7 linked regions of the Macaca fascicularis genome follow. The protein of the gene in region 3 interacts with the protein of the main gene of each other region in a pairwise test. Links are inferred from orthologs where the notes say so. Each region holds a gene or a part of one and is shown on either strand. Other genes may lie near its edges.

The links.
Region 1: the proteins of BHLHE40 (region 3) and AANAT interact in binary tests that used the Homo sapiens proteins (3 or more experiments, as listed by UniProt). The two-hybrid records come from large-scale screens. The link is inferred for Macaca fascicularis from reciprocal best matches to the Homo sapiens genes BHLHE40 and AANAT.
Region 2: the proteins of BHLHE40 (region 3) and RHOBTB3 interact in binary tests that used the Homo sapiens proteins (3 or more experiments, as listed by UniProt). The two-hybrid records come from large-scale screens. The link is inferred for Macaca fascicularis from reciprocal best matches to the Homo sapiens genes BHLHE40 and RHOBTB3.
Region 4: the proteins of BHLHE40 (region 3) and MAGED1 interact in binary tests that used the Homo sapiens proteins (3 or more experiments, as listed by UniProt). The two-hybrid records come from large-scale screens. The link is inferred for Macaca fascicularis from reciprocal best matches to the Homo sapiens genes BHLHE40 and MAGED1.
Region 5: the proteins of BHLHE40 (region 3) and WHR1 interact in a two-hybrid assay, tested with the Homo sapiens proteins (2 studies listed by BioGRID). The two-hybrid records come from large-scale screens. The link is inferred for Macaca fascicularis from reciprocal best matches to the Homo sapiens genes BHLHE40 and WHR1.
Region 6: the proteins of BHLHE40 (region 3) and HIVEP1 interact in a two-hybrid assay, tested with the Homo sapiens proteins (2 studies listed by BioGRID and IntAct). The link is inferred for Macaca fascicularis from reciprocal best matches to the Homo sapiens genes BHLHE40 and HIVEP1.
Region 7: the proteins of BHLHE40 (region 3) and NAA50 interact in binary tests that used the Homo sapiens proteins (3 or more experiments, as listed by UniProt). The two-hybrid records come from large-scale screens. The link is inferred for Macaca fascicularis from reciprocal best matches to the Homo sapiens genes BHLHE40 and NAA50.

Annotation. Positions count from the first base shown.
Region 1 is NC_088390.1:82,916,278-82,920,212, forward strand, and holds AANAT (serotonin N-acetyltransferase), read left to right. Parts: upstream 1-1,135; 5' UTR 1,136-1,284; intron 1,285-2,218; 5' UTR 2,219-2,293; coding exon 2,294-2,447; intron 2,448-2,710; coding exon 2,711-2,865; intron 2,866-3,202; coding exon 3,203-3,508; 3' UTR 3,509-3,646; downstream 3,647-3,935. UniProt on the Homo sapiens protein: Controls the night/day rhythm of melatonin production in the pineal gland. Catalyzes the N-acetylation of serotonin into N-acetylserotonin, the penultimate step in the synthesis of melatonin.
Region 2 is NC_088380.1:99,721,235-99,725,478, reverse strand, and holds the start of RHOBTB3 (rho-related BTB domain-containing protein 3), read right to left. Parts: upstream 2,801-4,244; 5' UTR 2,454-2,800; coding exon 2,452-2,453; intron 2,276-2,451; coding exon 2,050-2,275; intron 1-2,049. UniProt on the Homo sapiens protein: Rab9-regulated ATPase required for endosome to Golgi transport. Involved in transport vesicle docking at the Golgi complex, possibly by participating in release M6PRBP1/TIP47 from vesicles to permit their efficient docking and fusion at the Golgi.
Region 3 is NC_088376.1:143,199,394-143,203,460, reverse strand, and holds the start of BHLHE40 (class E basic helix-loop-helix protein 40), read right to left. Parts: upstream 2,801-4,067; 5' UTR 2,523-2,800; coding exon 2,443-2,522; intron 2,280-2,442; coding exon 2,210-2,279; intron 1,949-2,209; coding exon 1,841-1,948; intron 941-1,840; coding exon 817-940; intron 1-816. UniProt on the Homo sapiens protein: Transcriptional repressor involved in the regulation of the circadian rhythm by negatively regulating the activity of the clock genes and clock-controlled genes.
Region 4 is NC_088395.1:51,862,427-51,866,619, reverse strand, and holds the start of MAGED1 (melanoma-associated antigen D1), read right to left. Parts: upstream 2,801-4,193; 5' UTR 2,759-2,800; intron 1-2,758. UniProt on the Homo sapiens protein: Involved in the apoptotic response after nerve growth factor (NGF) binding in neuronal cells. Inhibits cell cycle progression, and facilitates NGFR-mediated apoptosis. May act as a regulator of the function of DLX family members.
Region 5 is NC_088378.1:139,734,294-139,738,448, forward strand, and holds the start of WHR1 (inactive serine/threonine-protein kinase 19), read right to left. Parts: upstream 2,801-4,155; coding exon 2,554-2,800; exon of another isoform or gene 2,522-2,553; intron 2,469-2,521; coding exon 2,259-2,468; intron 2,128-2,258; coding exon 1,991-2,127; intron 1-1,990. Other genes in the region: DXO (decapping and exoribonuclease protein), read left to right, coding at 3,096-3,451, 3,621-3,856, 3,943-4,155. UniProt on the Homo sapiens protein: DNA-binding protein which is required for efficient transcription-coupled nucleotide excision repair (TC-NER). Acts as part of a TC-NER complex which assembles and interacts with RNA polymerase II (RNAPII) when it stalls at DNA lesions.
Region 6 is NC_088378.1:160,820,604-160,824,103, reverse strand, and holds part of HIVEP1 (zinc finger protein 40), read left to right. Parts: intron 1-2,044; coding exon 2,045-2,178; intron 2,179-3,046; coding exon 3,047-3,222; intron 3,223-3,500.
Region 7 is NC_088376.1:169,422,714-169,426,932, reverse strand, and holds the start of NAA50 (N-alpha-acetyltransferase 50), read right to left. Parts: upstream 2,801-4,219; 5' UTR 2,501-2,800; coding exon of another isoform or gene 2,493-2,500; intron 1-2,492. UniProt on the Homo sapiens protein: N-alpha-acetyltransferase that acetylates the N-terminus of proteins that retain their initiating methionine. Has a broad substrate specificity: able to acetylate the initiator methionine of most peptides, except for those with a proline in second position.

The sequences.
Region 1 (3,935 bases), on a different chromosome or scaffold from region 3:
GCTGTGTCCCAAACCGTGTGGGTAGGAACAGGAGCTTCCTCTGCGGGGGTTTGAAAGAGTGCACCTGTGAGGACACTGAAACCCAGCAGGAGAATCATGAAGACAGGAACCAGGAGTCTCATTGTGAGATGCAGTGAGTCCCACCAGCGCAGCAGTGCTGTGCATGTCAGGAGGTTTTGCCCCTCCCACTTCACTTGTTGGATGGCTCTGAGCAGGTTACTGAACCTGTCTGTGCCTCGGTTTCCTTCTCTATAACATATGGTTAATACTCATTTGACCGGGCTTCCGTGTGGATTAAAGGAGATACGTATCCAGGGCCCAGCACGTAGCAAGTGCTGTAAGCAGTGGCGCTCACAGGCTGCCAGGACAGGAAGGACCCTCAGAGGTCTGTCCCAAACTGTGGGTAGGAGCGAAAGCTTCCTCTGTGGGGGGTCAAAAGAGTGCACCTGTGAGACGCAACCTTCAGAACCCCCAGGAGCCTGAGATGGACAGGGGATCTGCACTGCTGGATGGGGCAGAGAGGCAGGCGCTGGCGCGGCAGGGGCCTGGGGGGTTGGGCAGGTGCCGGTGAGAGAAAAGCTAAGGGGCGCAGGATGGGGTGTGAGCTGGAGGGCAGGGGGTAGTCAGGGCTGACTGGGAGAGGGGCCTGCATCCCGAGGGAACGCCAGCACCAGGTGCCAAGGCCCGGGCAGCCATGGGAATGGGTGGAACCAAAGTCAATGGCAGTCAGAGAGCTTTGTAGTTGAGATGTTTGGTAGAGCAACCTCCTGAATATTTAAGTAAACTTGAAGTAGAACATACTTAAAGTGCACAAATTGGTAGCTTGAATTCCCACCCCCTCTCCCACATAAGAGGTGGGCTTGTCCAAGACTCCAAGGGACAGAAGGGGAAATCGCTGGTGCCCAGCCAGTCGGTGACAGAGCAGGGATTAGAGCTGGACCCCTGAGGCTAAGCCCCATGCTCTCTTCCCCAAACCCTGGGGCCTCAGTCAGCCTCTGGTAATCCCTTCTGTGCCCAGGGCACCAGAGCTGACGTTTCCCTTCAGCAAGGCAGGGGCAGAGGCTGCCAGAGCCCTGCTGGCGTCATCCTGCCTGGGATAGCTTGAGAGGTGGGGTGGGGGGGATTAGAAACCTCTGAGAACAGCACCACAGGCTGCCCTGGTAACATCTGCTACTACAGCCTTGTAGCCAGGAGTCCTGGATTTTCCTGGTTCCTGTGCCCGCGGACAGGTCCCCAGGGCCACTGGCTTTGTGGAGGGAACACGGTGCCCTCTCCACAGCCCAGGTAGGTGGAACCCCAGCTCCTGGCTCTCAGCCTTCAGGAACAGGAGCTTCCCTGCTTGGAGCTTCTAGACATGGAGGGAAACATGGAAGTCATGGAGTTTATTAAGTGTCTTGGAAGGTGGAGGGAGGGATGGCCTCCTCTAAGAACTGCAAATTTGCAGGGTGTCTTGGGAGACAAGAGTGCCCAGAGAGGCATGTCCGATGAGCTGGACGTGTGGGGCAGGGGGTATCCTATGCATCCTCCTTGCCTGTTCCTCCCCATCCCCCAGGCCCTCTGCAGCCCCCGGCTCCCTCTAACCTACCCACCCCCCACCACAAATCCTGCATATGTGTGGCCCAGTCTGAGGCCATCTGGATAGAAATAGAGGCTCCCTAAGGGGATTAAGGGGCTTTTTCTCTAGGACCAAGGGCTGAGACTACCTAAAAAGCTCTCCGCCACAGGATCTTGCACCCAGAAAACCAGAAGCCTCCCTCTGGGGAGGTAAGATAAACCACATGAATGGTGGTGTGGGGGACCCGGGGGCCCACCCACTGCACAGTTGCATTAGATGTGGTCAGTGGAGGGTCAGGAGTCCTGCCTCCCCGCTGTGGGCAGCAGGGTTGGGGTGCCCCAGGCTCCATGGAGCCCTGCTCATCCCTGCCACCATTTCTGGGGCTCAGAAGCACCCAGAAGGCACCTGAGACCAGTGTCTGCAGGTCTGCAAGGGGACAGACCTCCAGGGATCCTTCTGGCTGCGAGGGAAAGGTGGGGAGACAGTGCCAATGTTTGTAGTGCCTGGTAACAGCCTTGAAGACCAGGTACCCGGGGAATGTGCCCATTGATTTGGGGGCTGGCTCCACCCAGTTCCTGCTATAAAAGAGGCCAGATGCACAGTGTGGGGCCAGACTCCCTGGAGATGAGGATCAGACCCCTGCCCCTTGCTGTTCTCCAACAGGTGCTGGGAGGCCCTCCGTGGCTTAGGAGGCCACTTCCAAAGGTGGGGTGCCCCAGGGAGGCACCAGTGGCCAGGATGTCCACACAGAGCACCCACCCCCCGAAACCCGAGGCCCCGCGTCTGCCGCCTGCGATCTCAAGCTGTCAGCGGCGCCACACGCTCCCTGCCAGCGAGTTTCGCTGCCTCACCCCGGAGGACGCCGTCAGCGCCTTTGAGATCGAGCGTGAAGGTGAGTGGCCCCGCACAGGGTCAGAGGGAAGCTCCACTCCGGTCCAGTTATCCTGTGGGGAGGAGACCCTTGAGTCTCCTGTCTTGGAGGCTGGGTCCCAGAGTATCAGACCATGTGTGCGCTCAAGAAAGTGGAGGAAACAGCAGCCCTAAACCCCATTTTCTTGGGGGGAATGGGGCATTTGAGTAGACACTCGGGGTGCAGCAGACAGTGGACGTGAGGCACAGCGACTACCAGTTGCCCACCTGAGCCTCCTGCCACAGCCTTCATCTCCGTCTTGGGTGTCTGCCCCCTGTACCTGGATGAGATCCGGCACTTCCTGACCCTGTGTCCGGAGCTGTCCCTGGGCTGGTTCGAGGAGGGCTGTCTTGTGGCCTTCATCATCGGCTCACTCTGGGACAAGGACAGACTCATGCAGGTGAGGACGGGGCTGTGACGCCCAGCTCCAGGGAGGCCTCTGAAGACAGAGGTCAGCCAGACGGTGGGGAGGGGAGCCCAGGGGCTGGGATTTCTTCCTCCAGAACTGGAGAGATGAGTATAGGCCACAGCCCCCTCCCAGGGCAAGGCGTTCTGGGTTTTCAAGTTTTCTCCATGGGGATGGGGGTATGGCTCAAAATTTGGGGCCCTCCTCGGCTGGGGCGGGAGCCCTGACCACAGGCACCGAGGGGACACCTGCTCCCTGCCTGGGTCGGTGGCTGGGGAGGAGCACGCATCAGCAGAAGTGACCTGGGCTCTCGTCCCTTGCTCACCTCCAGGAGTCACTGACGATGCACAGGCCTGGGGGCCACATAGCCCACCTGCACGTGCTGGCCGTGCACTGCGCCTTCCGGCAGCAGGGCAGGGGCCCCATCCTGCTGTGGCGCTACCTGCACCACCTGGGCAGCCAGCCGGCTGTGCACCGGGCCGCGCTCATGTGCGAGGACGCGCTGGTACCCTTCTATGAGAGGTTCGGCTTCCACGCCATGGGCCCCTGCGCCATCACCGTGGGCTCCCTCAGCTTCACGGAGCTCCACTGCTCCCTGCAGGGCCACCCCTTCCGGCGCAGGAACAGCGGCTGCTGAACTGGGCTGCCCACCTGGCTGCCAACGTGATCCCCGTCTCTGCCCTGGGCCCCTTAGCTCAGCTGAGCATGGAGACAGCAGTTTCCAGAGTGGAGAGAGCAGGGCTAAATAAAGAGGAGATGGGGTGGCTTCTCACAGCCCGAGCTGGAGTGGTGTGTCCTGTCTGTTCCCACGAGGCCTCTGGACCTCCTGTGTTCTGAACTCTGTACCTGAGACTGGGCTGGGTTGGTAAGTGGGGACAATGGGAGGCGCTGTGGGTTCCCTGGCTCCTTTCCTCCTCCTGGCAGGTGGGCAAAGGCGCCAAGGCAGCATCCTGACAGGAGCCCATTGCTCAAGGGGGGTCCTTATTCTCCCCAGCCTCGTGGATGCCCTTTCTCACTCTTTTTTTTTTTTTTTTTTTGAGACGGAGTCTCGCTGTGTCCCCCAG
Region 2 (4,244 bases), on a different chromosome or scaffold from region 3:
TGATACATAACTATACTAAAGTTATAACAAACACTTTATTTTTATATTAGCTACCACTTATAGAGCAGCTACTAAATGTCAGCCTCTATACTTAGAACGTGATGCGTGCTAGTTTCTCATTCACTTCTCAGCACAGCTCTAGGAGGCAGATTATTTTATAGATAGGGAAAATAAGGCTGAGAAGGTAAGTGATTTAACAAGGACACGCAGACCTGAAATGGCAATGTGAGAATCTGAAATCAGATCCTTTTGATATCAAAGGCTGTGCTTTATCTGCTCTATGTAATATTCTGATTCCGTAATATATCAAATAACAGTTTATTAATGCAATCAGCTTTAGTATCTCTGATGGGCTTTACTTACCACCAAGTGAAGAAAAGCACCTTATAAAGAGCAACTCTAGAAATGGAATCTCATATCTGAAGATCATTATAGCCCAGCAAATTGTACCGGGTTACAAACTTGGTGCCTTAAATAGGGCCAGAGTCTAACCAAACAAAAAGTGATTAGCAAAATAAACCATAACAACCAGCATATGGGAAAAATCCGTACCATAGAGGCTTATTTTCTCCATTTGGAAGATTTCATTTTACTAGACAAAGTGTATGGGATCACAAGCATTGCTGTTTGCAAAATTAACAATATAAACAGGAAAGTGTTAACAGCTCAAATTAAATATAGGGAAAGCAATCCTAACATCCTAATGTAGCTAATTTTATTTTCCCTACGTTTACTCTATTCACCAAACATTTGTTCAACTGCATGTTGAACCGTTATGTTTTTAGGCTGTAAGATCTTTCACGACGAAAGAGTCCAAGTAAAAGAAGTGTTTCATTTGCCTGCATAGACTCTGGTCAGTAAGCTCTCCATCACACTTCTTATGACCAGCGTCATCACTGTCATAACTAGGGGTTTAATAGCATCTCTTAACTGAAAAGGTCTGTTTTTTATTTTACCAAATTAACAAACTTTCTTCTTTAACTGAAAACTTACACAAGCGAGTGATCTTCTTTCTGTTACATGGAATTTTGCATAAAAAATTTTTCCAAGTACACTCTACACATTTTTTAGAAAGGCATGATAGTTTCCTATAGCCCTGATTCAGTTTTTAAAATTGCTGTTTAAATGTGAAATCTCACACAATGACAATTCGTATTTTTTCAGGCACTAAACTTTCTTCTGTTATTAAATGTAAACTTAGCTGAAACATACGTAACTCCAATATCAGTAAAGAGTCAGAGATTTTCAAATAAGACCAAAGGAAAACATTCAAACATAATGTTATTGTATACTGAAAATACTTATATGTGTCAGAAAGTAAATTCCTTTCTCCCTTAATCAAACACTCAAGAATCGGGCTACAATTTATCCACTTCACTACAATTTTGTTCAATTATTACAAATTTTAATTTTTTAAGTTTTCCAAGCAACATTAGTAATATTATTTCTGATTTATGAGTCACTAAGACAAATGGCTAATACATAAAGAGTATTTGCATTATTAAAATTAAAAGTTTTCAGAGATCAATTAATAGTGCTATAAATGAGTCATTTAAAATTAACTCCCAGTCCCTGTCTTTTCCTCCGCTTTCCAGAGGAACTATTTCTGAACTGTCCCAATGAAAAGTATTTTTGCCTGTGTTGAGCTTTGAGAAGGCTATATTTTTAGAACACCAATATTACACTATCACCCATAGGGTAGGCATAAAAAAACACTGCTTTCTGCTGGTGAAACTTAGTGACCCCGTCCCTTGGAGTTGGCACATTCAACTGTCAGCTGCCTCCCAAGGGACAACCCACAGTCGTGAAGTGTACCAGTAAGTGCTCCACATTCCCACTGGGGCCTTCTATCTTCCTAAGAGTCTTCTCTGACGGGGCTGTGCCCTGCCCAGTGAAACAAAGGACCGAATATTTTCTCAAAAATGTTTGAAAATTTGACCCATGTAACGCGAACACTCCACACTCACGGAAGTGGGCAGAAGGGGGAGGGGGCAAAAAAGGAAAGAAAAGCTTCTTCAGCCTTGGCGTGGAGCAGCTGCTGTTCCTTACCCAGACGGGACAGTCGTGGACCACCAGTTTGACATTCCCAAACGCACTGGCCTGATACTCGGTGAACACTGGACGCGCGACCGTGCTGGCCGCGTTCAGCAACAAGCTGCTCTCGTCCCCCGAGACCAGAGGGCTTCTCCCCAGGTAAGTGCGGATGAGACCCGACGGCCGGTTGTCCTGGTGGAACGCGTCCCCCTCGTTCCCCAGCGCCACGATGTGGATGGACCTGCACGGACAGAGAGGGGGCGAGGGGAGAAGGGAAGCACGGTCAGCGCGCGGGTCTCTCTTCGGAACAGGAAGTGCGGGGGACAGCGCGCGGCTAGGATGGGCACCAGCCCCCGTCCCTGGGGCGCACGGCACGCGCTGGAGAGAGACAATGGCAGGACGGCGGCGCGTACGTACATGATCTCAAATCCAAGGGCAGGGCGGCGACTCGGAGAAAAGCAGCGGCTTACGGCCTCGCGGGGCCCCCGGGCGGCGAGTTCACCCGCAATCCGCTCATCCCCGGCCGCGTCCCTCTCGCGCGCCTCCACCGCGGCGGGGCCGACGCAGAGCGGGGCCGGGGCCGCGCCAGCCAGCAAGCGAGCCGGACACCAGGGTGGGCTAGCGGGCGGGGGGCAAGCTGCTGCTACTCAGAGACTGCCCGGGAACATCGCCGGGCGCGGGACTGCCGCGCAGCCCCGAGTGGACGCAGCTGACCGCAGTCCCCTCTCCGCCGCGCCTCCTCGGCTGGCAGCTATCGCCTCCTGCTGCTGCTGCTGCCGCTGCTCCTCCTCCTCTAGGCAGAGAAGGGGGGTCGGGGAGATCGGGGCCTCCGCCCCCTCGGCGGACCGGGCGAAGCACGTGCCGGCCCCGGGGGTCGGGCGGACACAGGGAACGCGCTCCCCGCCGAGGCCCCGGAGCTCCCGCGGCGGCGGCCGGACACAAAGGAGTGGCCCGCGCGGGGCGCCGCGGAATATAAATTAATAAATACAACGCCCCAGCCCGAGAGCTCCCGACCGCCAATCCGCCTGCAGCAAGTTTGTTCAACTCGCAAGGCCGTAACCAGAGCCAGGAAAGGGGGGTGGGGCGATGGGGCCCCCGCTCACTCCGGACTGGAAAAAGGAGGTTAGGGAAGCTAGGGATTCCAGCACGAGTGCCGCCCCAGCAACCCGATTTTCCCCCCTCTTGGCTTTGACCGAAAGTGCTTTACCACGACTGCCGCTTTGTCATTTGTCAACATGCGCTACTGCTGTTTTCTAAAATCATACTTGTGAGAAAAAATAAAGGCAACATTCATGCCGCTGCAGAAAGGGTTCTTTGTTCGCACACCAATTAATTTGCTAATGTCGCCTTGGGGGGATTATTTACTATTTCGAGCTATATTTAGCGTATTTTAGCGAAAACTTCAGGATTTTAAATGCTGGGATTTTTAGTGTGATCGTTTTTAAAGGAAGTTATGTATGGGGGTTTAATGTGTTGGTGAGTTAAATGCTAGTTTACTTGAAGATTTTTCTGTACACATTATGGACACATTTAATAATAGCTCCGCAGACCAACTGAAAACATAATCATGTAAATGCAAAGATACTTTAGATTCTTTCATAATAATGCACTGAAGTAAAGGCTATGAATATCCCTAGCGTGCTTCAAACTACCTCAATACAAACGAACACTGGGATCCACTTACTAACACCAAAATGGGCCAGGGATTACTCTGGGGTTAGACGCCTCCATACAGTATTAAAATTCTAACCAGTACCTTACTCCGTGTTAAAAAGAGTTCTTGCTTATCCTTTTATCTATTTATTTTTCCCTTCTGTAAAATTGGACTGTTTCTTTTCTCAACTGAGCTATTTTGAGGGTATGAAAGAAGGGGTATTGAGTAGGGTAGTAAAAAACTAGGGTAACAGCTTTTTATTATGGGCCCTTATTGCTCGGTTAAAAGTAGTTTAGTAGTTTCTCGTGCTCAGAGAAGATATAATAGCAGACATTCTTTATGTGGTCACTAATTTTTTTAAATCTAATTTCCCTTTGCATTTTCTATGATTTCTCTTTTAGTCTCTAGAACCTAAACCATCCTTAAAAATTCCAGCATTCAGGATCACTTTTTCTCTTGGGTTAATGGAAAATATATTTTCTCATCAGTCTCTTCCAGAAACCCATAAGTCAAAAACAAAGACACTAGAATGGATGAATGGATAAAGAAAATGTGG
Region 3 (4,067 bases):
CATGCTGTTATCTTTAATTAGGCTCTCTATTTCTATATCTTTTCCACATATTCTATCCATGATCCTCAAGACATTAGGTATGACCATCTTCCTATTTTTAATGAGGAAACTGGCAGAAGCATTTGCTGGGTTTTTGCAATTTTCATCATACGAGCCTTGGAGAGGAAGGCAGAGAATGAAATGAGGGAGTGGGTAGAATAATTCTCCCCAGTCAGTACAGTATTATTTGGAAGAAGTGAGACTAGAAGGTTAGGTGACTCCGATTATCTGGAAGTCTGTTGAAACGAATGATGAAACTTCAGTGGTTTCGCTAGATTGTGCAATTTACCATGATACCTAGTGGCTATTCAGGGAACCACATGAAATGCAGGAAAAACTCCTGCTGTATCCTGCCAGGATCACACCACACACCAAGTGACAAGGAAGCAAAGAAACAGGAAAACACTGGGGCATACCCACGATTTCTTCTCCAATGAAAGAGGGCTAAGAAGACCAACTGTAAAACACCCACAAGGCAAATTATAGGTGCCTTGGCATTTTAAAAGGGAGTAGGGAAATCTCCCAGAACCCAGAGACTCTCAAGCTAAAATGCCACAGGAATATCTTATCATTTCACTAATACGTATTCATGCCAGGTGGCACACTGCATTTCAAATGAAAAGTCTGACCTTTTAGGAAAGATAAAACTGCATCTCCCCCAATGAAGGTGCATAAGCAGTTTGTTGCAGTAATGTTTATTCCATCAGATGTTGAGCCCACAGGCTCTCTATTTGTGCTCAAACTCTTAAAAAGAGGAGAGCCAGAATCAGCACTCACCAGCTTGTAAACCGCTCTGCAGGGCAATGATTTTCTGCTGCTGCTGATCAATTAGGTTTGTTAGTGCTTTCACATGCTTCAAGGTAAGTTCAAGAACCACTGCTTTTTCCAAGTGACCCAAAGTCTAGAAGGAAAAGAGCCTTAGTCAGCGGTGAGGTCAAAGAAGTCCCACCTTTGGGATATTTCTTAGCAAAGAGAAATGTCTCTAAAAGAAAAAAAAAAAAGTGGATAGTCTTTCTTCGTTGGCTGTTCTAACACACATATATATAAAATATATATGATTAAATAATTTAAAAAAGGGTGCCATCTCTCTTTGGAGGCATTTTGGAAGCTGCAACTACCTCAGGAAAACGCTTTGACAGATAAATTTCTCCAGCAGCCTCTGCTGACCTTAACTCAGGGGAATCCAGAGATAACATTTTTCTGCAGGGGTGTCAACTCAGAGAGGGACCTCTATTATGTCTGGCAGCCAATAGGCTTTCCCTACTTCTTTCCTTACACCCTTTCAGAACTTCCAGCTCATTCAGGCTTTTTTGTTCCTCCCAAAATACTTTTTTTTTTTTTCCATTTCCCCAACCAAAGGCTGCCAAGTAGCTGAGGGCTACTGTCAAGAAAGGACAGGCCGTAAAAATCACACACCAAAGCAAGTCCACTTATTTAACAACAAAAAAAAAGGTGGGGGGAGTGGTGGAGGGAAAGGGGTAAATGTGTGTGTTGCTTGGCGTGTTCCTTTAAGTTAGAAAAACTAGGGAATCCTGAAAATCACCAGAAGTTAAACTCTTGAAAAGGAAGGCCAGTTGGTGTTGTAGCCAACTTGGAGAGGTCCAAGCGGTTCTCGCCTCATTTGCATGAGTCAGCCAGAAAACGCAAGGACTGTGGAGGAGGACCACACCACAGAGCCACCCGCCAGCTCTGATCCGCCCGTCTGGTCTGCAGTTCCCCGCGGAACCTGCAGGCGGCGAGTGACCCCCGCCCGCCCTCTGGGCAAAGGACTGGGTTGGAAAGGGGCCAGCTTCTCACTTACTGTAAGTTTGAGATGTTCTGGTAGGAGATCCTTCAGCTGGGCGATGCACTCGTTAATCCGGTCACGTCTCTTTTTCTCGATGAGCCGGTGCGGCAATTTGTAGGTCTCCTGCAAGACGCACGGGGAGGCGGTGGGCGCTTGGGAAAGGAGATGAGAAGCCTATCCTCCCAGCCCCGCAGCACGAGTCCGGCAGAGGAGCAGAATAGCACCCAGAACCATCATCTGCCCCTTCTTTTCCAAGTCACTCAGAAGAGGCACCGAGCCCACACCCTGCATACCCTCGCCAACCTCAAAGCGAGAAAACTTTTCTTGGAAACTCAGCGCGCGCGAGGGGCTGAGCGCAGGGTCCCCAGGGGTGCACTTGCTTACCTTGCTGTCCTCGCTCCGCTTTATTCCCCGTCTTGACTTGTACACTTGGTACATGTGGGCAAAATCCATCCTGCAGGAAGAGAGACCAGGAAGGGTCGTGACTGCTTGCGCACGGCTGCAGGCGTTCTGCCGGGCAAGAACCCCCCGGTGCGCCCGGAGCTGCTCCAAGTTGAGAGTGGCGCATAACATGGGGCTGGAGTTGAGGCTTGAAGGGCCAAGGAGTGCCAACTTACCCTGGTAGGTCTCCGTGCTCCAGTCCCGGTGCTTTGGGCAGGCAGGCGGGGGGTGGTTGCGCGCTGGGGATCCGCTCCATGGTGCGGCGAGCCGGGGCCACTGCGCGCTCCTGTCTGCTCTAGCGGAGCGTCTGGATGAGGACTGTCCTGGAGCGGGCTTCGGGGGTCTCTCCGCAGATGTTCCTCTGAGTCTGAGCTCTTTGAAATCCCCTGGGCTGCTGGAATCTTCGGCTTTGAGATGCAGCTTCAGTTGGGGGCGTGCATGGCCCGGTGTCCCCGCGGCCTCTGGCTCCAACTCAGCGCACAGACTGGCGGTGTGTGCTCCCTGCGCGGTCTGCGCCGTGCGAGCCAAGTGAATGAGAAGTGGGGCGGGCGGGGAGGCGGGAGGGAGCGGGTGGGGGGGGGCGGTTAGGGCGGAGTAGGGGGGGTGGGGGCACAAGCCGAGGAGTAATGGAGAGGCTGCGGGCTGGGTTAAATGGGAGCGAGTGGGTGGGTTGGAGCTACGTGTTCTACCCTGTGACTCCAGGCACGTCTGGCCACTGCCGGGGAGGGAAGGAGCGACCTGCCCGCCCTCCCCCGGCTTCATCACATGAGTCTCACGTGTTGGACAACGCTCCGGCGGCTGCTAGGGAGCCCCCACCCCCAGCCCCGGCCCCCAGGTGTCTGCGGCTGCGGCCGCCTTTCCCCGAAGAGGGGGTGGCAGCGCAACCTGGGTCCTGCCCAGTTGGGTGGGGGGCGCGGAAGCTGAAAGGGACGGGGCTGCTGGGGGAGGGGGAGAGTTGGTAACGTGGGCGAACCTGCCCCAGGGAAATGAAGTAAGTTCCCGTCTCCTGGGAGGGAACGGGGGAGGACGGATCCGCCCGCGTCTGACTCAAGCCGGGAGAGGAATATCCCCTTGCTAGCTCCAGCCCAGCCCTCTTCCTCCTCCCCCGCCCGGCCCGCTTGGAGGAACCGGCGCTCAGCGGAGGGAGTCGCCCGGCCCCCCAGCCTTCCCCAGAGGCTGGGGTTTCTTTCCGTCCTGGCTTCCCTGCCCCCACTGCTCACCCTCGCGTCCAGGAATTGCCCGCCTTGGGGAGGGACCGAGGGGCGGGGCGGATGTCACCCCATGGGAAGCGGGCAGACAGCCAAGCGCAGGGGCAGCTGAGGCTGCCGCCGAGCACGCCGCGCGCACCTGACCGAGGAGGGTGTGAGCCGAGGGCCCCTCGCTCCCCAGGAGCTCCGCTCCCGGGCACAGCCTGCGGGCGGGCGGGCACCTGGTTGCGCAGCCCCCTGGGTGCCCCAGTGTCACCCCCTTCCTCCCGGCCAGTCAAGCACAGAAAGATACCGGGCACGGTGCCCGGTGTTCCCTCCCTCCTCTGCCCCCTCCAGAGCAGAGGCGCCCGGGTCGCCTCCCCTCCGGCTGCAGCGTTACACAACCGCGGCGGCGGCGCCTGCCCTGCAGCAGCGCAGGGCGTGACGCTTCACGTGGCCGGGGCTCAGGTCGCAGCGCCGCGGACCGCGAGCCCCTCTGCGTTGACCCAGGGACTGAGACCCCGGGGACGTGGTGTGCCAACCCGGATCGGCCCTCTCCCTGCCTGTTGGGAACTTCGGCGGCGCTGTTTGCGGTCTGCACCCAGGGCAGGAGG
Region 4 (4,193 bases), on a different chromosome or scaffold from region 3:
ACTTTTCTGCATGTATTTACATTTACTTAAAATAATGTCTGCAAGTGTCAAATGGTTCAGCCAAAATAGATCAAGAAATAGATGGATGGATGGATAAATCGATGGACGGATGGATGGATGGATGGATGGATGGATGGAGAAAGAGAATGAGTAATAGAGAGAGTGAGATAATATGGCAAAGGTTAACAGTTGTTGAATCTAGGTCCAGAATATAAAAGTTTTCATTGTACTCTTCTTTCAACTTCTGCTTAATTTTTTATTTAAAAATATTCTGGTAAAAAGAGGCATTATCCATGCCTCTCAGAGCTTAATATCATATCAAGCACCTGATATGATCTAAGTTGTAAAAGAAGCACAAAAAATATAACTTCTATACCAAGATTGTTTTATAAAATAATAAAATATTCTGTATATTTTCTATTTCTCATTAAGAAACAGAGACAGAGAGAACCAGACCAGGACTGAGTGTCTGAAAAACCTTAACTCCATAAACTGTACCACAGTTTAGCAAGTTACTACATACCTCCTAGTCTTGGTTTTATCATCAGTAAAATGACAATGATAATACTGACCTTAGAGAATGGTTTTGAACATTAGGGAGAAAACCATATTTAAAAGTTTTATCTGTTATAAACAAGTACTGAGTTCATTTCACTTTACCATACCAAATATTTATGGACAACATATTATGAACACATAGTGATAAGAGCAGCGAAAGAGATAATCATATATGCCATGGGTTAGCACACAATGAGCCAGCAATCAACAAACTGACGATGAGGTGGGTATGGAGACAGTGATATGTCTTACTAGAGAGGCTGACAAGTCGCCTAAATGGTAGCAAGAAGCTAGCCAGAAAGAAGAGAATATGAGAAATGTATGTGAATGGATCAAGTTATCTGAGTATGCAGAGCATTGAATTAATACTATGCAGAAAAGTGACCACTAGGGGAATGGGAAAGTGGGGGCGGGTTAGGAAACAGAGTGAACAAATGCAGAGACTATGACATAAATTTTGTTTTCCCATTAATATCTGCATATTGTGTGCCCTCACTTCCTTCAGGTCCCTGCTCAAATATCACCTTACCAGTGAAGCCTTCCTGCCCATCCTATCTAAAATAACAGAGCCTCTCCACATTACAACCTATTATATATTTATCTTTTTTTGTTTTTTTTTTAATTTCTTCATATCTTTTTGTTTTGTTCATTTAACACCAGTGGCACTTGCCAATATATATTGATTATATATTAAGTTATTGTCTGTCACCCAGCTAAAGTTTAAAAGACTTTGTTTTTGTTATCCACTGTTGTATCCTTAGTGCTGAGAACACTGTCTGGCAAATAAAAATTATTGAATAAAAAATTATTGAATGAATGGATGGATGCACAGTGGGCTGAAACAAGTATGATAACATTTAAATGCTGTCTAATAATGATTTAAATAGAGTATAAAGAGACATCAGCAATACTCTTTGGAAAAGTTCCTAAGTGTTGTGGTGTCACAAAAGCTCTGCCTCATTGTTTATTCTTAAATAAAAACTGTACATGGCCTAGAAAAGATAATCACCCCTTATTTTGGCAAGCATAACACACAGGAAGGAGTCAACTGCTTGTTCAAAGAGAACTTTGGTTAAATTCTTCGTTAGATCCTGATAGAGCCTGGAAAACACTGATTCTCACCATCAATTTAATGATCATTTGGTAAAGGCAATAATAAGTTGTGATTATTATTTAATAACTAATGTTCTCACAAGATAAATTTGACATGGTCACAAATGTAAAAGTACATTTCACATTGCAATAAATAGATTATGTAATACTTGCAAAGCTCTGAGAAAAAGTCTTTGTCTGAAAAACGTCAGCTTGCTGTTTAATGTTGCTATCAGAGACCAGAAAAGAAACTGCATAATAAACTCAACTCATATAAAGTAATAAATTTGTGATTCCTCCACTAAGAGAAGTTTTACAGGGGATAGGAAAGCTTACGCTGAAGCTGACACCAGGTTATAGGTATAATCCACTATGTCTGCCCCCCAGAATTTGAGGATTCAATTCTATAGCAACAGAAAAAAATAAATGCAATATGTAGAAGACTGAAATCTGTGCAATAGTATCTAAATGATGTGTAATTTTGTTGAGTTAAAAAAATAAAAAAACATAATTTGGACAAGTACCTATGTCTCTTAGGGCTCTAAGGTTTCTGCTTCTTTGCTTATACTTTAAAAGAACCAAAAAAAAAAAAAAAAAAAAAAAGCCTTGACCTTGAAGTCACACCTACTGTTGCAAAGTACGTAATTTATTGGTCTCTGCGGGAGGGGAATAGGAAAGACCAAAGGCCAGCAGGGGGAGTAAAGCAGTGTAGGAAAGGGCTTGCAAAGAGTCGCAGGTTAAAAGGATGGGGGGCAGAAGGCGGAGGTGAGAGGTAGGAGGTAGAAGTGACCTGTGGTAGAGGGAATGACCCTGGCTCAGATCAGAGAAGAGGATCCGGGATAAAGAGGAGAGGTGAAGCATGACCGGGAGTCAAGCGGATAAAAGGACCACAAGAGTCAGGAGGTGGGGCAGGTGCGGGCTCCCCATCTCCTGAGGAGAAGGGAGGAGACGGTGAGATCAGAACCACAGGCGCCAGAAGCATCCATCATACAACGTTCGCGGGGATGAATTCTCCTTTCCACCCCACGTTGAGGCACAAAAGGAGGTTTCCCTGGAGTGTATGGGGATTTATTTGTGAGAATTACCAAGTCCCCTTCTTTACACTCACCTTGACGAAGAAGGCAGCGACGATGGCGTGACCGGAAGTGCTGTCCTCTTTTGTTTGGCGGAAGCTTTAGCTTCTGCAGCCGCCGCCCCCTCCTTCACTTCAGGCAACTTCCTGTGCCTCTCTAGCAAGCTCTGCAATGCTCTATCTCATTGACTCCCTCAATAGATGAACACATACATTGTGATGTAAACCGGCTGGGAGAGAGAATCACTAACTTTTTACAAATCCTAATTCTAGTCGTGCCAGGAACCGCAGTATCTCTGCCAAATCCTTCATGTACAATTCGCCACCTCTCCTTGTTGATTCGCCTTAGGAATATCTCCGTTCATCTTAATCCCTTAACTCAGGCCTCATTTTCTCTGTCTTGGACGTCTACAGTTACATATTTTCCAAACTGATTTACTGTTTTCTGGCACACCACTTTTAAAAAGTTCATTTGTATTAGCGGTGTACTTCAATTTCAAGCTTTTTTAAAACATCTTAAATCTAAATCATTTTTGCTTTGAAATCGTATCCAGAGTTACATACCATATTCCAATGTCCAAAGAATAGAGGTGGACTTATTTAGAAAGCACTCTTGCATTATTTTACATACTCCCCAAGAAAAAGAAGAAAATGAAAACTGAAAAAAATGTTTCAGTAATAAAAATCCGTACTCTGGTTAAATACCTTCAGAACAAGTTTAGAATTGAATTATTTATTGCCACTACCTCCAGAAAGTTCTCCTGGCCCCCAAATCTGCACCACAATTCTCACCACAGGGGACGATCTCTTGTGGCTATTTTTAGTCATTCCACAAGTATATACTGAACACCTACCATGTCCCAAATACTATGCTACACCCAGAGACATTATACTAGGATCCCACAGCCTAGAGCTAAAAATGGCATTTAAACACTTAAGAGCCTGGCATAAAATATGTGTTTATCAATGCTTGTTAAATGAATAAATGACCAAAATGTGGTCAGAGCAAAGAAGGAAACTAGCAGTAAGGTCCTTAGTTTTGCTGGTATTTTTACAATTTATTTCAACAATTTGACTCACGTTTCCCACTAAGCACTGCTTTACCTGCATCCCACCAATCTTTATATTTTGTATTTTGATATTTTTGTGTATTGATTCTAATTTAGTTCAAAATGATCTCTAGTTCACCTTTGTAGTTCCTTTTTTTTTTTAGACGGGATTTCACTCTGTTATCCAGGCTGGAGTGCAGTGGCATGATAATAGTTCACTATAACCTCAAACTCCTAAGCTCAAGTGATCCTCCTGCCTCAGTCTTTTGAGTAGCTGGACTACAGAAGCACACCACCATGTCCAGCTAATCTTTTTTTATTTTTTGTAGAGACGGGGTCTTGCTTTGTTACCTAGGCTGGTCTTGAACTCTTGGGCTCAAGCAATTCTCCTGCCTCAGCTTCTCAAAGTGCTGGGATTACCG
Region 5 (4,155 bases), on a different chromosome or scaffold from region 3:
TTTTTTTAGAGACAGGGTCTCACTCTGTCACCCAGGCTAAAGTGCAGTCGTGCAATCATAGCTCACTGCAGCCTCAAATTCTTGGGCTCAAGCAATCCTTCTGCCTCAACTTTCTAAACAGCTAGAACAACAGGTGCATACCACCATGCCCAGCTAAGAATTTTTGTGTTTCAATTTATTTTATTTATTTAGTAGAGATGGGGTCTCAGTTATTTAGTAAAGACGGGGTCTCACTTTGTTGCCCAGACTGGTCTCAAACTTTTGGTTTCAAGCTATACTCCTGCCTCAGTCTCCCAAAGTGGTGGGATTACAGGCATGAGCCACCACACTCAGCCTAGATTTCAGTTTATATTTTACTTTACCTCTTCCCTCTTCTTAGACCACTGTCTTGAATCACAGGTTCTAATACTGCCAACTACTTCACTTTCTCAAAAATCTCTTTACTTTTACAATAGGCCTCTTCCTGGGTTACCTTTTTTTTTTTTTTTTTTTTTTTTGAGACAAGGTCTAGCTCTATCACCCAGGCTGGGGTGCAGTGGTGCTATCTCAGCTCACCTCCCCAGCTGAAGCAATCCTCCCACCTCAGCCTCCCCAGGTGCGTACCACCATGCCTGGCTAATTTTTGTATTTTTTTTGTAGAGATGGGGTTTTGTCATGTTGCCTATGCTGGTCTCAAACTCATGAGCTCAAGAGATCCACTCACCTCGGCCTCCCAAAGTGCTGGGATTACGGGCGTGAGCCACCGCCCCGGCCTCTGGGTTCCTCTTAACTCAGGCAATTCCTTCTCTGCCTCTGCCACAGATTCCTCTTCTTCTGCTTTCCCTTTATGTCAGTGGATCTCAAATTTTAAGGCACACTTAAAAAGGACTTGAGGCAGTTCAAAAGTGTAGAGTCCCAAATCCCACCCCAAGAGATTGTAACTCATTAACTTTGGATGAGTCCCAGGAACCTGTATTTTTTAAATAAACAGCCCATGTAATTTTGACACAGGCATAACTCAGCTCATACATTCAGTAACACTGCCTTAAATGACAGTGTTTCCCAGCATTGTGGATTTGACCCTATCAACTTCCACTCTAAACTTGGAGTCCTTAACCATGGACCTCAGAAGATTAGTGAAGTATTTCCCCCCAACTGTACATACATCCTATGTATATGTGGCATACGTGCATTTTTCTGGAGAGAAATAGCCATAACTTTTATCACCTTCTAAAGATTATAAAAAGGTTAGAAATCACTCCTCTACCCACTCTTCCTACTGGATCTCACCACATCCACAGAATTAACCACTTGCTATTCACACCTCCATGACTTGTAATTCTATTATCACTGGCCAGAATTCTCTCCAACTCTAATATCCACTTGTCTAATACGTTTGTCTTTGGATGCTCCACATGCACCATCAACTCAACTTGTACAAAATTAAACACATTATCCGTAGTCCAACAACTAAATGTGCTCCTAATACCACCAGCCACGCAGTCATCCGGAAAGTCTGAGTTTTCCTGGACTCCTCCCTTTCTCACTCTCCTCTCCCTCCGTACTGCACTGACCTAATTTAGGCCTTCACCACTTCTCAGATGCAGTGTCTTCTTAGCTGACCTCCCTGCCTCATCCACTACCTCCAATACACCATTCCCTCTCTCTATGACATTCTCTACCAGCCCATCGCCTCAGTGTAAGATGGAAACAACACTGATGTACAAGGCCTGTCATGATCTGACGTCTGTCTGCACTCCCAGTGCTCTATGTTCGAACCATGCCCCATGACTCGGTTTCCCCAAAAGCCTCGTTCTTCTCCCTCCATGGTTGAAATGCCCTGTACTGCCTGCGACCCATTTAACAGGGTCTCTGTGGCACCCCAGTGCCCGGAACAGTGCCCTCCCCTGAAAGGCCTAATGCTTGCTGAACAGCTGGCGGAGTGACTGAGGGACAGGAAATTTTAGGAGTCAGGAAAGGGGCCTCCGGCGGTCGCACCGACGCCCCTCACCAGCTGCCGGTCGGCCACGGTCCTGTCAGGCACGAGGCTGTACACCTGGCTCCTCAGCACGATGGGCGGCAGAGCGTCCTCAAACAGACCTCGCGGGAACAGCTGCATGAGCTCTGAGACAGCCGCGCGCGCCGACCCTGGACCGAGAAACCGGGTCAGAGACAGGGAACTGGGGCGGGGACGCGGTTCCAACAAAACTCTCGGCTACCGGAAGCGAGGCCCCACCCAGCTGGGGTCTTTAGCCCCGCCCCGGGGTTGCCATGGTTACCTGGCTCGCCACGAGGAGGATCCGACTCCACAAGCCCTCGCTTCCGCCGCCTCTTAACTCCAAAGGTCTCCGGGACCAGGTGATGCCTTTTTCGGCTCATATCCCGGGATTTTATGGTACCGGGGAAGAGGTAGGAATGGAGGGAAGAGAACCTGAAAATAGGGTCTTCCGGCGCAGAACAGTGACGTACGGTCTCCCCGGGCGTCCCTCCTAGACCAGGTGATGACGAAAAGGGCGTCAACTTGTCATCCCTCAGGCCAGTCAGTGTTGGGAAGGGCGGTGGCGACGCAGATACCCGCACCACGTCCGCCGGGCCGGGCCTCACGCCGACCGCGGATTGGCTCCCTCCAAGGGCACGCACGCCTGGGGACTCGTGGGCGGCGTGGAGGGGCGCCGGTGGCCACGTTGGGATCAGCCTCCTTCGTAAAGCTCACACCTCCCCGGCCCCGGGAGGGGTTTGCCCGCCACTGTCGCTGAATGATTGCATCATCGAAAGCAGAAAAACCACTTTTGCATCCTTCGGCCTCTGGTGTGCCTGCCATGACGTCATAGCCCTGCGGAGGTGGAAGTTGGGGAGCTTTGAGGTAACTGGATTCTTGATCTGAGCGCAGGCGTCCCTCCTAACCTCACTGCATTTGGAGGACCTGGAGGGAGGGTGGGTGAAGGGCAAGCAAAAAGGCAGGATGAGAGCTTGGCCGCGGTGGCGTCTGAGGGGCCTGAATGTTTCAAGGCCAGAACCTGGCGATCAGGTGGCTCGCTTAGTCCTAAACCAGTCATCCTTCTCCAGGCCTCCTCTGTAAAATGGAAACTCTGTCCGCCTGCTTCCCTTAGGACCTCATGGATCCCAGGGGGACCAAGAGAGGAGCTGAGAAGACAGAGGTAGCTGAGCCTCGGAACAAACTACCCCGTCCAGCACCTTCTCTGCCCACAGACCCTGCCCTCTACTCTGGGCCCTTTCCTTTCTACCGGCGCCCTTCGGAACTGGGCTGCTTCTCCCTGGATGCTCAACGCCAGTACCATGGAGATGCCCGAGCCCTGCGCTACTATAGCCCACCCCCCACTAACGGTCCAGGCCCCAACTTTGACCTCAGAGACGGATACCCGGATCGATACCAGCCCCGGGACGAGGAGGTCCAAGAAAGGCTGGACCACCTGCTATGCTGGCTCCTGGAACACCGAGGCCGATTGGAGGGGTGAGCAAAGCGTGGCAGGCAGTGTATCTGGAGACCCGTACCTACCCTCTAAAATTAGGAGAGCCACAGCCGGGGTGAGAATCAGTCCTTAGAAGAAAGACTATTCTTCGAGGGGAGCATCTCACTAATGCTTGTGTCAGACCTTCAGCCTGTAACTCCTGCCTCTCAGGGGTCCAGGCTGGCTGGCAGAGGCCATAGTGACATGGCGGGGGCACCTGACAAAATTGCTGACGACACCGTATGAGCGGCAGGAGGGTTGGCAGCTGGCAGCCTCTCGGTTCCAGGGAACACTATACCTGAGTGAGGTGGAGACGCCAAAAGCCCGGGCCCAGAGGCTTGCTCGGCCACCGCTCCTCCGGGAGCTTATGTACATGGGATACAAATTTGAGCAGTATATGTGTGCAGGTGAGTTACCCCTGCTTCATAGCCCCCTTCCCCTTCCCAGAGATTGAGAGCCCCCCACCCCTGCTGCTGCTTCTCTCCTTGTGCAGACAAACCTGGAAGCTCCCCAGACCCCTCTGGGGAGGTTAACACCAACGTGGCCTTCTGCTCTGTGCTACGCAGCCGCCTGGGAAGCCACCCTCTGCTCTTCTCAGGGGAGGTAGACTGCACAGACCCCCAGACCCCATCCACACAGCCCCCCACCTGCTATGTGGAGCTCAAGACCTCCAAGGAGATGCACAGCCCTGGCCAATGGAGGAGCT
Region 6 (3,500 bases), on a different chromosome or scaffold from region 3:
GATGAAGAAAGTCCACACTCCGGTGTGGAAACTGAAAGAGATTGATCATAGAGGAAGGAGAAGAATGAGCAGAAAGTGGCATCACACAAAACATGGAAGAAGATATTCAAGGAGAGTTGTTAGGTCAAATAAAGTTGAAGGCAAATGGGTATATCTGGACTGTGCAGATCACTGGAGAATTGAGTCTATGAGCAAGTGGCTATGGAGGATGGATTACTGGACTTTTATCTACAACCCAAATGTTAATGCATTTATGATTCACAATGGGAAAGAACAGATAGATGCTATGAAGTAAAAGGATTTCTAGGTGAAACATGGCATCTTCAACATATAATCCATAGAGTGCTAAAGCATGTAAAGACTAAGATTTTGGCATTTAGCTCGTTGATAACTTTGGCAAGTAGAAGCCAGATTTAATAGTACGAAAGTGAGCAAAAGATAAAGGGGAATTTGATATTGAAAATAAAGAGGGTTACTGTTGAAGGGATAAAGTCAAAGGAAGGTGTGTGCATATATTCCAAATTATGCGGAAGCCAATCTGTTTGCCAGGAAAAGAGAAGGAAAGGTTGCATCAGTAGCTCTTCCCACTGCCTTTTTGAGGAATGTGGAGCAGCAACTTTTCTTTACTCCTGCCTGTGTAAGGATGGGCCTCCCAAGGTATTATTCTGAGGCCACACAGACCCCTCTCCATAATGAATAGACTCTTATCTCTTAGTATTATTAAGTCATTTCAGCACCACAGCTGTCTGCTTGACCATATAATTTCTTCAGAGAGGTTTGCATAAAAGAAGCCCTGGGTAGGAAAAGTTGTGCGTTGCATTGGATTCAGCCAGATGATTAGAGTTTGAGTGTTTGCCTAACACTTGCCCTAGGAACTTCACCCTGAGAGTGCCCTTCCTCACTGGGATATATAGTCCACCTGTGCTGCCTGCCTCACAGGGACCCGAGAAAATAGAATGGCACCATAAGTGAGACAACGTACCGTAAGGGGTGGTAGCATAAAATCTTACATAAAATCACAAGGTGATATTATTATATTGTTCCTGTAGGAAAACCACACATTGTTTTATCATTTTGATTTTGATGTTCATTACCTTTTTTTTCCAGAGACTTAATTGTTATCAAGCCAAAACCTAACTTTTTGGCTAGACCTGGATGTCACATTTAACAGTATTCAGTAAACTTTTGAGAAGATAGAAATAATTATGGTTTTAGCTGGGCATTGTGGCTCATGCCTATAATCCCAGCACTTTGGGTGGCTGAGGTGGGAGGATCACTTGAGGTCAGGCGTATAAAACTAGTCTGTGCAACAGAGCAAGACCCCCATTTCTACAAAATTTTAAAAGTAGTCAGGTGTGGTGGCTCACGCCTGTGGTCCTAGCTACTCAGGAGGCTGAGGTGGGAGGACCTCTTGAGCCCAGGAGTTTGAGGCTGCAGTGAGCTATGGTTGTACTACTGCACTCAAGCCTGGGCGATAATGAGACCCAATCTCAAAAAAGATTTATGATTTAAAATAGTGGAGGAAGAAAAAGTAAAATAATGGGAAATGGGGCTTCTGCTTTACTTTATACTGCACTGAAGCTGAAGGAGACTTAGTGATGTTTCTAAGGGGTATGAGGCATTATTTTACCAAAAGGGGTAACTAGCTCTTTTCCATCTCCAAAAGTAAACTCTTTTAAGAAATGTATTTAAACGGTAGTATGAGTGGTTGGTTAAATGGAAGAAAAAATATTTAGTCTACTAAAAAAAGTTTCTGGTAAACTTATGAAATACCATGGTGTAGGAGGTTGTAAAGCCTTTAGTTGGGGGTGTCAGTGACCTGTGGTGGAATTTTAAAGTAACATAAGATTTATCATTTTGCTGTGATTGAGACAGATTCATAAGGGAGGAGATAAAGCAAATGCCCTTTGAACCTATTACTACTTTGAAATGCATTTCGTTGACCATATGCTCTGTACTCTGCCGTGTTTTAATTTCCGGTGAAAGATTAGCATGTTTGTGTTTTCAGTTTTATTAAATTAGTTTCTCTCTTTTTTCCTTTCAGAGAGCATTAGGTAATCAAAAGTCCACAGTAGTTGAATTCAGCAATAAAGATGCCTCTGAAATTAACAGTGAGCAAGATAAAGAAAATTCCTTAATCAAAAGTGAACCAAGAAGAATTAAAATATTTGATGGAGGGCAAGTACAAATTTTACTTCTTAAATGTACATTTAAACTTACTTTTTAAATGTACATTTGCTTTCATGTGAATGAAGACTTAGCGCCAATTTAATATCAATGTTGCAAGGTTTCTTAGCATATTAACAGAATCTCCATAGCAAAATATGTTAGCATTATGTTAAATAATTTTATTTTGATGGAGAAATGATGACTATTTGGGAAGTACTATACAACCTTGAAGGCAGCTGAAAACTAAATTATTAGAGTGAACCTTGGTTTTCACATTGATTTACAATAAGGAATGACCTAGAGAATCTGCTCTCAGATGAATTCATTGCCCATTTGATATCTTTGTGTATTTCGTTGTGAGCAAAAACATCATAAAAGCCAATTATAGTTATAGTAAAGCTCCAAAATATTTCAGTACTTAAAAATTATTGTGATTGAATCTAGCAATGAAGAAAAAATTTAACCAATGACTTAGAAACAGGAAAGTATTTTAAAATTACATACAGTAGTGGAGTGCAGTGGTGTGCGCCTGTAGTCCCAGCTGTTCAGGAGGCTGAGGCGGGAGGATCATGTGTGCCCGGGAGGTTGAGGTTTCAGTGAGCTACGATTGCACCACTGTGCTCCAGCCTGGGCATCGGAGCAAGACTGTCTCTAAAAACAAAACAAAGTATAATATTGCAAAAGTTTGTTTGATTGGAATTAGCTGTATTAAGTATTGATGTAAAAAGTTGGAATATTCTGTTACTTACACATGCATAAAATTGTTATTGGTTGAGTATAAAAGTTGTGCCTTGTTTTATTTTTGGTTTTAATCATCATTATTTTCTTAAAGACATAGTGTCCAATCTCCCTATTCATTTTTTTTTCTTTAAATTAGATATAAGTCAAATGAAGAGTATGTATATGTCCGAGGCAGGGGAAGAGGAAAATACATTTGTGAAGAATGTGGAATACGTTGTAAGAAACCTAGCATGTTAAAGAAACACATACGAACCCATACAGATGTCCGCCCCTACCACTGCACTTACTGTAACTTCTCCTTTAAGACTAAAGGTATGAGATGCACATTGCTTCAAGGTCCTTTTTGTGTGTATTTAGGTGCTAGAGCTAAAACCCAACTATGCGTTTTCTTTGACCAACGAAATAGTAGCTTAAATAGACTAATGTAAATTACATTTTGTCAATGTTGTAGTCTTATTGCTTTATATAATTTTAGAACCATTGGAAAATTTTTAATTGTACACTTTTAGAATAAATATATAATTAATATTTTTAAAAGAGCAACTGCCCTTTTTAAAAAACTTAACTCCTTAAATTGCAGTTGTACAACA
Region 7 (4,219 bases), about 26 Mb from region 3:
ACTATAAAACTGACCACACTGTGCACGGTGGTACAAGTTTTGGAACTGAAGGCGCTTAACTTATTTTAAACCTATACTGTTGTAGGTTCGGTATCCAAACACAAGGTTCACACAACTCATTTGTTGAGTGTCTTAAATACAGACTTAGAAGTAAAAAAAATTAAAAAGTTTCATCTCACCTGAGAGTTCATTTGTTAAGTTAAAGGGATTATTCCTGTGAAATCATCTTAAAGGTTTACAGTAAAGAATAAAATTCTAAGCTCCCAATCATAAGAAGTATTAAGAACTTCACAGGCATAGTTACTGGCATAAAGGTACAGATTCAATAATTTTAAGTTTCCTCTAAATTCGGCCAGTTACCCATTTCTAGGGATCTGCCTTCATCAGGTTACATGTAAATATCCATTTTAAACAGAGATAATTGCTCCATGAATATACTAATTAAAGGTAGATTGTGAATAATATGACTGTTCAGCTCCATTTCTATCGCCAAGTTAGGTATCAGAAAGAACATCACACCCTATAGAGTCTGAACTAGATTGAAGATTTTGGATCGAAACATACAGAATAATTTCCTGGCATCCCCCTTTGTAAATCCATGGCAATTTCAACACTGGGAACTCTTCAGCCTCGTTTTTCTTAACAGAACATGACAAATAAGTATTGAGTGCCTGACAATGAGTACAAAAATGAGTAAGAGTCAGCAGCTATGCTCAAGAAGTGCAGTATATACCACCCTTGGTGGCTCACGCCTGTAATCCCAGCACTTTGGGAGGCAGACGTAGGTGGATCACTTGAGCAGGAGTTTGAGACCAGCCTGGCCAACACAGTCAGACCCCCGTCTCTACAAAATATTCAAAAATTAGCCAGGCGTGGTGGCACGCGCCTGTGGTCCCAACAACTCGGGAGGCTAAGGAGCGGGGACTGCTTGAGCTTGGGAGGCAGAGGTTGCAGTGGACCGAGGTCGTGCCACTGCACTCCGGCCTGGGCAACAGAGCGAGACCCTGTCTCATTTAAAAAAAAAAAAAAAAGAAGAGAAGAAAAAGAAGTGCAGTATAGCAGAAAAACAACATTCTCCAAATATGTTGGATTGTCATCTGAAATAGCCGAACTTCCCAGATCATGATTCCAGTGGGGCAAATACTTCTTATACCCGTCAATTTTATTTCCCCAACTGGAACTCTTTAGAACTTGATGTGAAACAATGCAGGTATTGTGAATAGTTCACGGTTCTTAAACTTTAAAGATTCTTAATACAAAACATACAACTCAACATTAGAATAAATATACAGTATTTAAAGGAAAATTAAGAGTAAGGAAACATGTTACAGACCTAAGACCAAATTAAACTTTCTTTGAATCTCTTCAGGAACCTCAAACACCGATACAGAGAGATATTATTTAGGTCCTTGTTTGGGGATGTATAAGATTACGATGAAAGTGACTTTTATTTCATCCTCAAAAGGGCTGTTGAATAGTTGGAATGACTTCGTTAACTTAAAACATAGTTACGATTTCTTAATCGATTTACAGAAACAACAAACTACGGCATCGCAGAGAGCTTTTCACGTTTACGAGCTTCATTTCTTTGAGGGTAAAGACAAGTTCCAAAACGGCTTACTGATGCAATGCTTCGGAAAAATGTTATGTAATTAATATATTAAAACTATACAACTTAATGGTAAGGAGACATTTCATAAAAATTTAAACAGTCGGTCCAAAATAATTCCTGATTTTACCTAAGAGGCAAACGATGACAGACCGAACATTAACTTTGCCAATCACCTGAAAGGAGCAGCGTGGTAAAACTACCCAGGACCGCATCAGCACTCAGGGGCAATAGTGAACCACTGAAGCAATAGCTCCACCTACTGATCCACCCTATACTTCCTTAAACATGTTGGCACCCCAAGTCTACAGCGATCGCGCTCTCTCCCCCTCCTCCACTCGCTGTGACCCAACCCAAATCTAGTTGAGTCACTAGCTCTTAATATTCATCCCCGTGCTCTTTATTCCAATTTCTTCTTCCTCCAGAAGGTTCTGCACAGCTCCCAAGCGTGAATAAAACTGAAAGGTGTCAAACACCGCAGTTCCAGAGTGGAGTCTGGAGGTGGAAGACAACCAAACCACTCCACCTGGAGCGGCGGGCCGGCGTGGCTCAGAGGTCCGCTCCCGGGAAGGAGGCCCCGGGCGCCTCATAATAGCCTTTCCATGTTGCCCCACTCAGCTGCTTCTCTCCACTCAACCCACAATCGTCCTCCGAACCGAAACCCTGAAGCCACCGGGTCTTGCCTCCGCTGGCCCTTCAGCCCGCCAACAGCCCAAGCCTCGCCTCCGCCCCCTCCGGGAACCGAGGAAACTGAGAAGGCGAGAAATCTCCCTCCGCCGGTCTTCGCCCTGAATCTCTCCTCGCCTTCGCAGCTCTCCCCCTCTACATGGGCCCGGGCCCTTCTACCCCGCCGGCCGGGCCCTGCCCGGCTGCCCTTCCTCACCCTTTCATCTTCCCCGCCTGCTGAGGCCGTCGTTACCACCGATATCAACGCCGTCGTAGTCGCCGCCCTCAGGTCTCCGCGCCCTCAGCTCGGGCCACTCAACCCCGCAAGCCGGCCTCCTAGCCTGGGCAGGGAGCTGGGCGAGCAACGAAGGCCGCGAGAGTCGAGTGAGGGCTTGAGTCTGGTGGGGGCGGGAGTGTCTCCCGCCGCCGTGCTGGTGCTGCCGCTACTCCACACGTGCACTCGGGTCTCTCAGCTCCCTCCCGCCGCTGCCGCCAGCCAGACCCGCTGCCGCGCTGTGACCTTTCACCCCGCCCCTCGCGCGCCGGCGCGTCAGCCGCCTCGCGCGCAGTCGTACTGCCAGCCTCCGCGCACCCTGCCCCCTCCACTCCGGAACGTCCATCTTTCTCCCGGACTGTGCCTTCTGGCGTCATGCTCCTCCTTCCCACCCCCTTACGACACTGCTTGTGGGGCTGGCTCGGTAAGCCCTGGCGGTAAAATCCAGATTTTTCCACCCCTCCCTCTTCTATCTCATATCCGCAAGATTGGTTTTCTCGGCCCTGTTCTTCCCGGTTTGTGGTCTCCAGAGTGACCTTCAAACGCACTTGCCTCCTAGTAGAGTTTTATAAAGCTGGTTCTTCCAAATGTAAAGAAATCTGTGTAAAGCTCAAGTAAGTTAGGTGTTTTAAAGCAAACGTGGTTAACAATCGGCCGGATAGATTGGCTACCCTCCAGCACGCCTCAAGTTTTGAGATCACGTGATTGGCCCAAACCTCAGAACCTGGAATTTTACCGGCGAACTCCAGAGGGACGGAACCCCACCGCCATTTCCTGTCCCTCGATCGTGGCGTGAACGTCACTTCCTTAGCAATGCGCTCTAACTCTTGCTGTCCACATTTTCCACATTGTACTTTACAACATAGTCCTTGTGAAAATTTATCTTTTATTTCTTTAATTCAAGAAGATTAATATTCAAGGGATACGTAAAAATACAAGCCCCCCGAGATGTAGCGCGCCGGGATGGGGGAGGCAGGGCGGAGCTCGACGTCACGTGACTGGTTGGGCCCGCCCCTCCCAACCCTGTGCAGCTGAGGACTTCCCCCCGTGGTGACAGAGCCTCTCGGTCCTCGGTCGGTACGGTCTCTGCACCTCGCGCCCCAGCAGGTGAGCGGCGGCCGGTAACTGGCGAGTGGTGGGGATAGAGGGGGTGGAAGGAGGCAGAGGGGAGAGAAGGGAGAGTGTGAACGGCGACCTCCCTGCCTGAGGCTTCCTCCCCGCTGTCACCCTGCACCGGCAAGGAGCTCCTTTCTCTTTAACCCCCGCTCCCCCAAGTGTGGTCGTTCCCGCTCCTTGGGGTTTGAGATGTCCACCTTTCCCAGGGTTGGAAGTGAGTGCGGCCATTATGGTTCCCTACTCAGAGCCTTTGGGGCTTCGGGTAGCAGATCGTTTCAGCCATTTCACAGGGTCTGCAGTAGACATTAGGTCCCATTCCTTAAAGCCCGTTCTTTGGCCAGGGTCCTCACTGTCCTTGCCCTCAGCTCAGGGCTGAGGAGCGGGGAGGTAGCAAAAACCCTGGAGGCAGAGGCGTCTCCAGTGAGACAGGCTTGGGAGGGACTGTCACTGATACGGCCTTCACTGCAGAGTCACTGAGAAGCTTCCCTCCGAAGGTGCTTTCTCAGTAATTCTAAGGGTTTTATCTGACAGACCTGCAGGGAAGGTTCCGGAGA